2 linked regions of the Tamandua tetradactyla genome follow. The protein of the gene in region 1 purifies or fractionates together with the protein of each later gene. This does not show direct contact. Links are inferred from orthologs where the notes say so. Each region holds a gene or a part of one and is shown on either strand. Other genes may lie near its edges.

Region 1 (3,910 bases):
AGCTTTCCTTTCTATGGGTTCCAGGCCTTCTCCTAGGAACTGTACACACCCCATTGCTACTGTGGGGGGCCTCTTCGTCCATAGGTGATACATGTTACAGAGGGGAAACTGAGGCTCAGGGCGATGACAGCTGGTCTCAGGTCACATGGATGGGGCAGGGCCGAGCTGCCCGTGGTCCCAGCCACTCAGGCTTAACCCCGCTGGGCCCCCTTTCCCATCAGTCCCCTGCCCTATAGTTCATCCAGGAATAAGGAGCCAGGCCAGGGCCTAAGCACAGCTGGTGTCCCGTGACACGAGTTTATTGGAGGGGGGGCCAAGGCCAGCGTGGGTACAAGTTGCAGGTGGGAGGAAGGGGCAGGGGGCGTGGGCAGCACTGCCAGCCTGAAGTCAACTAGAGAGGAGGCCAGGAGGGTCCACAGCCAGTAGGGGCACTGGTTCAGTGAGCTCACAGGCCAGCGGCTCTTCACCCCGCAGGGTGCTGGGTTCCTGGGCACGGCAGAGGCCCCCGGAGGACTAGGGGAGAAGGACACAGTGAGGCTCAAAGAGGAAACTTGCCAAGCTGTCACTGGCTGGGATGGGAGCCTGTATACACCCCATGGGCCCCGCTCTGTCACTCTGACCTCCCCCATTCCCCCCTCCCAGGCTTCCAAGCCCATCCCCCAGCTCCCCCTGCCCCACTCACTGTGGAGGGTGTAGAGGCCTGGCTCCAGCTGCAGCTGCGGGGGCAGGACGAGGAGAAAGCTCCCACCCCAGGGGTCTTCAACCACTGAGAGCCAAGCTCGGGAGGGAGGGCTGTGACACTCAGGGGTTGGAGAAGGACACTTGGATGACCCAGGCAAGGGGTGGCTCGGGGGCAAGCCACAGAGGGAGCAATGGGGTGGCGAGAGGCCGGGGCCCCGGGGCAGGGAGAGGAGGGCCTCAGGGCAGCCCCTCTGCGCCCCGCCGTGGTGGGGGCGCCGCTCCCGCATCCAGACCCAGTGGGACGGCTCCTTGGCCATGACCTGGGAGGAGGAAAGCGGGTGGTCAGTGGGGGGGGGAGCTGCTGCTCCCACGGGGGATGCCAGGCCCCGGCCGTCACCTCCTCGCAGGACTGGCGGCTCACGACAGCCCGGAAGTCCATCCGCGCCCACAGCTGGTCCCTCTGGTGCAGGAAGTCCGAGACCCGAGGACGCCAGCCTTCGCCCAGAGCCCAGGGGAAAATCTCACATTTGGGGTCCTCCAGGTCCTCCTCCATGTCATTCGCAAGGTACCTGGCCATGCGGGACTGGGGGGGTCAGGGAGCGGAGGGCGCAGCACCGGCCGAGCACCCTCCAAAGGCCCGCTGAGGCCCCCTCACCCCCGCCCCCTGCCACCCCCGCTCACAGTGCCAAGAACAGGTTGCTGTGGGTGTATTCGCTGAGTTGCATGTTGGCGCGCCGGAAGTAAACCAGCACCATTGCCAGGAGATACTGCAGAGAGACAGAGGTGTGGGAGGGGGTGGAGGTCATAGGTCAGCTGTGGAGGGGGGGTTGGGGAGCAGGGGTGTGTCCTGGCCAGGTAATTTTGGTGGTAGAGAGAAGGGATGGGGTAAGATGGTGGGGAGGGGGCTCCAAGGACGATTTAGAGGTAAAAAGTGAGTCCTCCCCCACCCACCCCCACCATTCCAGGGACCCCCAGGAAAGTAGCAGAGCTCCAGCCCCACTAAATCAACCGTCCCCTCAAGTGACCCACAACCTCTGCCCCCCCCACCTTATCTGAAATCTGGAAACAGGGGTCTTTGGAGAGGAATTCCTGGAGAAAACTGTCCTCTGGGTGGAGGGAGAGGAGAAATGGGGGCTCTGCATTATCCCCCACCCACCACGAGACGCGAAGTGGCATCAGAGTGCCAAAGCCCGAGCCCCCACGGAACCCACTTTCCGACGCGACCCCTCTGCCACCTGCCAAACCTGGGTCACCTGAGCGGGAAGGGCACCCGAGAGCTCAGATGCTTGTATCTTTTTTCACACTTGATCCCTGCAGCCCCTCCCGTGTCATTCTCTACCCCCCCCCACCCCCGTCCCCCAAATGAACTCACCCAGAAGGTTGAGGAAGGCCTGGAGCTCCTGGTGCTGGAGGGAAGGGAGGAACCCGCGGCCCCCACCTCGACGGCTCCAGCCCCCCAGCTTCACCTGGGCGGCGACCACAGGGACAGTGGCACGGTCCGGGGCGCCACTCATCTCATGAGGGGGTGGGGTGAGGCGGGGTGGGGCGGGGCAGGGTGACCTGTGGAGAGGGCAGCCCCCCACCCCGACTCAGCAAGTACCCCCTCCCCCACCTCCCACCAGTCCAGGGGGGATGGTGAGGCCTGCCGAAAAGAGCACCCCAAGGTGGAGGGATGCGAGTGGAGAAGGGAGTTCAGCAAAGATGGACGCTGCGATGCATTGTGGGGGGTGGGGGTGGGGGAACCTAGGAAAGAAACGAGGAATTCCCGGAGGCCGCAGCACCCCTAGCCCTCCTCCCGGCACCCCAGGCCAGGCCAGAGAGGTGTAATAACAGCCACTAAGTGCCTGGAGCTGTGCTAAATACTTATTTAAGACATCTTATTTCCTCCCGAAAGCTGGGTCCGTGACACGCATTCCACAAACAAGGAAACCAAGGCACAGGGGACTTGCAGCCAGTTAAAGGTGGAGTTTGGCTGATTCCAAAAGCCCCAGAGCGTCACTGTTTCTCTTGCCCCCAACTCCCACCCCACCCCATCCCACACCAAAGGGTTGAACACACACGGGGTAAGTGAGGCTGAGAGGGGTGTCGAGAGCTTGCTCAAGTATCTCCAGCTACTTTCCTAAGCCTTCCCTACAACTCGAGGGTTGGAGGGAAGGCGCCCTCCCCTAGCCCGGGATCGGCCCAGGACTTCCATCCAGGCGTCTCCAGGGGCGCAGCCTCCCTCCTCGAGAAGCCTTACCTGGCCTCAGCAACAACCTACAGCATAACGCCCTGCGGGCCGCCCCGGCCGCTTATATAGCCCTGGGGCTGCCCCGCCCCACCCAGGCTCTCCACCAATCAGTTCCCTTGTGGCAGAGGGGGCGGGGCTTGGTCATCACCGCCCACCAGGAACCAGATTTCCTGTGCCTCCCAGCTGCGGCTCCCCAAGGTAAAAGCTTCTCCAGAAGAAACGTTACCCCCGCAGGGCAGATGGGGTGCTCGGGCAGGACCCCACCCCACTCCTCACGGAAGGTGAGCCAAAGGTATGAAGGGAAAGTTTTAATTCACTGACTGTGGGAGGCAGCCACGCTGGGTGTTGTGGGTGATTGTTTCAGATTGAGAAACCTCAAAACCTGGGAGCCAGAGAGAATACTATCTTGGCATGGAACTTCCAGAGGACCCATCCCCTTCCCAAGGTCTTCTGGGGATAAGGGGAGGCTGGCTGGTGTCCCCAGGAAACCCCCGCCCCCGCCCCCAGGCTTACCCCTTAGGGATCCGAAGCCTTTTTGGCTCCACTGGCTCGTTTTCCTTCCCCAATTCCATGGGATAGTCAGCTCCTGGGTTACTTTTCACACGTGATGGGTGACTTTTCTTTCTTGTAACTTTTTGTTGTGGTAACATACATACAGCTCAAAATTCTCCATTTTAACCACTTTCAAGTGTACAGTAAATGTCATTTACTAACATCCATTACCCAAACTTTTCCATCGTCCCAAACAGAAACTCTGCACCCATTAAGCATTCACTCCCCATTCCCACCCCACCTCGGTACCCCATCATCTACTTTCTGTTTCTGAATTTGCATATTCTAGTTATTCCATATAATATTTGCCTGGCTTATTTCACTCAATGTAGTGTCTTCATCCATGATGTAGCATGCATCAGAACTTCATTCCTTTTTACATTGTGTGTGTGTGTGTGTGTGTGTGTGTGTGTGTGTGTGTACCACATTTTGTTTATCTGTTCATCT
Region 2 (3,910 bases), on another chromosome or scaffold:
GGCTGGATCTTAATAAATATGTGCACATTTCTTCAAGTCATAGACATATTTGCATTATTAAATCATCATTTAAAAAATTTTTATATTATTAAAATCACTCACCTTCTCCAATTTTCTCTATTTTGGTATAGTCTTCCATAGTTACCCAACAGGTGCCGTAAATCCTAAAATGAGGGGAAAAAATGACTTGATTACATGCTACTAATTCAAAGAGTGGTTTTAAGTATGAATGAGATACTACATATTAAGTATTTAGCAATGTCTACTGCAATATAAAGTATTTCATAAATATGAGTTATATTAAGACAATATTTACAAGAATAAGAACTCTTGCAATAAGACTTTCCCACCCTCTTTAGCTTCTAAAATATTGGAAATATGTGTATATTCTACACCAGTGTAACATTTAGCTTCTTCCATCTGGATTAGCCCTCAAATTCACAATAAATCAATCCATCCTTTCCAAACCAAACATGGAAGTAAGTAACACTTTTAAGGAGCACTACTGTGTACCAAGGTTATACCCAAATACATCAGCAAATAATGCTATTTTGATTTGATTTGTATTGCTTTACGATATTTTTAGTGAAGATAATTCAAGAGAAAATGTTCAGGAGACTTGAGTAGGGGTCTAAAATCTGGTCAGACTGCTCCCCATTAGAAAGGTTTTGCTTAAAGCAACAAAAGCATTTTAAGTGTTTACAGTTGGCGCAAGTTGAGTTTTAATTTTTCTTCTTTGTTTATAGCAGTCACATAGACAAATGTGCTTCTCTATTACAAGACTTGCAAGGTACCTTTTGCAAAAGAAGATATCACTGAATGCCCTAGAAGGAAAAGATTAAAAGTGCAATTCCACAAATAAAGTTCTGATTATACCCTACCAACACCAAGAACCAAATAAAAAAACAAATACTAATCACTAAGAATGGTAAGAAGGAGCAGAATTGCAGACAGACAGCCAGACACTCAAGATCTTCTCAGTTGGTTAAGTTTTCCAATGAAGCAAAACCTCAGAAATCTGAAGCATAATTACATTGATTTTCTAACACACTCATCACTGATGATAAAATCATAAGGGTTACTCTGAGCAACTGACTCCAAAACAAAAGAATGTCCATCAAGAATTTACAATTTAATTTTATTAAACAGCAATGGACAATTTAGCACAATTATCTTTTCCTAAGTGACCAGAATTAATATGGGCTAAAACACAATAAAATTGTTGCGCTCACTTTAATAGCTAAAAACTAACTCCACTTCAAAGCCGGACTCAATTACCCTTCTATTTTCCAACTTTAACAATTATCAATAAAACATGCTGCTTCAGAATGCCTTTTGGATGCGTCCCGCGGCTCTGTTCTAACAGCTGTAGGATATAAAATATCTTTGGCTTAGTTTCCCTTCCCAGAGACCTCCAGGTCCAGAATGCACACTAGTAACTTTAGTAATGGATCAACACTGATTAAAGGCCTTGACAAAGGTATTAAGAACACATGTTTCTCTCTCGGCATTTCTTAGTTTTCCACTTTTTGCCAGTGATATACTAGCTACGAGTGTAAAGTACAAGTAAAAAAAAAAAAAAAAAAAAGAAACCCAAGTTTCCACTGGCTCTGTGCCTTGGCTACGGGTTCTTAAAATTTCCGGTCAGGTAAGGGACATGGGTGCTGAAGGAAGCCCGAGAGAGCCCAGAAGTTCGTCGGATCGGTTTCTCAGACTGACTGGGATTAAAGACTGGCGTGGGGCCCGGCCCAGGTGCGGTCTCGCTTTCCACCCCCGGAGCAGCCGAAGGATGAAGCGCAGGCGGCGAACCGAAGCAGCAGGGCCCATGAGCGAGCCTGGCGCTCACCAGCACCCTGCGTCCTCGAACCTGTGCACGGATTTTGCTTCAATCCAGCTTGCACCGACACCAGAATGCCTCCTCCGCTGGGTGGGCGACCTCTTCCTCGAAACAGACGATTCAGACCTCCAGAAGGGAACTCCGAGGCCAGGGCAGCCTCAGCCCTCCCCAGAGTAAGCCCATCCGGCTGTGCTCCCACAAAACTCCCCCTAAAGCCCAGGCCCGGGATTCCGAGCCCCGGGCCCAGCCCACCCTGAGGCCCGGCCTTGCCGCACACACCCCCTGCTCCCCAGCAGGGCTTTCAATACTCCCCTCCCCAAGGCCCCCGAGCCGGCGCCTGCCGAGTACATGCCCCATAGGTACGACCCGGGCCCCTGCAACTCTACCGGGCTTATCCGACGCGGTGGTGGCAGCAGCTACCACGTCGGCGTCACTCCTTCCCAACTTCCAAGAGCCAGGTTTGAAGCAAAGTGAGAGCAGTTTCAAAGTCACCGCGCTAAAGGGTCTCCGATCCACCAATCAGGTAGCCCGTAGACTTTCAAAGCAGCCAATCAGAGCACATTACGCTTGGGCTGGGTTTCCCGGGCGGCTAGAGCGCGAAAGGAAGAGGAAACGGCGGCTGGAGAAAAAGCAGGTGGGCGGGCGCCAACTGAGTCTGAACACAGGGGCGTCTTTCATCCCAGGGAAGCGTCGTTCTACTGTTTCTCGTCTTGAGAATCTACTATTCGTTCGGGTTTTTTTCCTTCCGGAATTGGTACAGTTAAAAATTATTGCGCTCAAATAGCTTATCACATTACATCAAGATTCCATTCCGTTCAGTTCTCGTGCTTAAGGCTAATGTATATTTATGTTTTTCTAAATTGAGTGGTTTGCTGGATGAGCCTATTTCTCCATAAGAGCACGTTTTCACTTACCTGAAGATGATGGAAAATGGAAAGACCTAAAATCTAAAGGAAATTTTTACAATATTAAATTATTTTTACATCAAAATTTTACATATGAACACAAAATTCATAATTCTTTGAAGGAAGAAAAAGGAATCAAGTTATTCTTTAAATAACACAGCATCACCACCATATCCTTAAGAAAGATCTTTGCATTTGAACATTCAATCTTTAAGGAAATAAAACAGTATGTAGAACCCGGGGTAGTAAGAGTCCTCTAGGAAGAATTCCTCTTTGCCTTGACTCTAACTGGACATAGAACAAAGAATGACTATCTCGACCTCTTCAACTATGAATTAGAATACCCAGGGTAGGATAAGGAATGGAACTAGTATATCACATGCATTCATGCATTTTTGCACAACGAATAGGAGAAGCAACATCTGTTGTTTGGCCCTATATGTGGCACTTAGGCTCAGTCTTGACTATTTTAGCCTCCCAGGCCACAGAGGCAGAACATGTGGGGTTGTTGGGTAGGGGCTTGTAAATACCCTAATTAAGCCTAACAGTTTTTAAAGCTTACTTTTAAATGAAAAATTCACTCTTTACATGAAAACTGCCTTCATTTCCCCAGAGTGGTGCTCTAGGGAGGCAGGCTGTTCTCTGTTATTTTGGGTTACTGATTTTAATAAATGAATATACGTCTTTCTCTCTGGAAGGCTTAGGCATGGAATTCAATTTGTATCATCTTAAAAAATGCAATTAATGCATTATATTCACTTTACATTCAGCATAAAGAAGACCATAAGCTTCCATAGCTGTGATGCTACTCTTTTTTAATTTAATGCGATTCTCTTTCTTTTCAGAATTTCAGGAGGGTTATTGTAAATTCAAGCTATCCTCTTAACACATATAGTTTATTATATTTTCAGCCAACCTATATTCAGTGTCTGTAAAGTGCAACACTGTATTTTATAAATGCAAAAATGAGTAAGATACCATTCCTGCTCTCAGTATAAGAGGGGGGAAGCACAAAGATGATTTAGAACTCTCTTCTGGTACTTAAATTGTAACTTATGCTATAAAATGACAGGGGAACACAGAGGAGAAAACTAATGCTGACAGGGGAAGTGACATTTGAATAAATACTTTAGAAAGAATTGTGGGACGGGCATTCCAAGCAGAGGAA

The links.
Region 2: the proteins of SPDYC (region 1) and CDK1 purify together in Homo sapiens (co-immunoprecipitation; 3 studies listed by BioGRID and IntAct, with this or other methods). This does not show direct contact. The link is inferred for Tamandua tetradactyla from reciprocal best matches to the Homo sapiens genes SPDYC and CDK1.

What each region holds. Positions count from the first base shown.
Region 1 is NC_135335.1:9,396,947-9,400,856, forward strand, and holds SPDYC (speedy protein C), read right to left. Parts: upstream 2,994-3,910; 5' UTR 2,921-2,993; intron 2,425-2,920; exon of another isoform or gene 2,242-2,424; 5' UTR 2,196-2,241; coding exon 2,054-2,195; intron 1,788-2,053; coding exon 1,729-1,787; intron 1,449-1,728; coding exon 1,363-1,448; intron 1,251-1,362; coding exon 1,079-1,250; intron 1,002-1,078; coding exon 683-1,001; intron 514-682; coding exon 464-513; 3' UTR 284-463; downstream 1-283. UniProt on the Homo sapiens protein: Promotes progression through the cell cycle via binding and activation of CDK1 and CDK2. Involved in the spindle-assembly checkpoint. Required for recruitment of MAD2L1, BUBR1 and BUB1 to kinetochores.
Region 2 is NC_135339.1:36,504,706-36,508,615, forward strand, and holds the start of CDK1 (cyclin-dependent kinase 1), read right to left. Parts: upstream 2,766-3,910; 5' UTR 2,224-2,765; intron 165-2,223; 5' UTR 140-164; coding exon 103-139; intron 1-102. UniProt on the Homo sapiens protein: Plays a key role in the control of the eukaryotic cell cycle by modulating the centrosome cycle as well as mitotic onset; promotes G2-M transition via association with multiple interphase cyclins.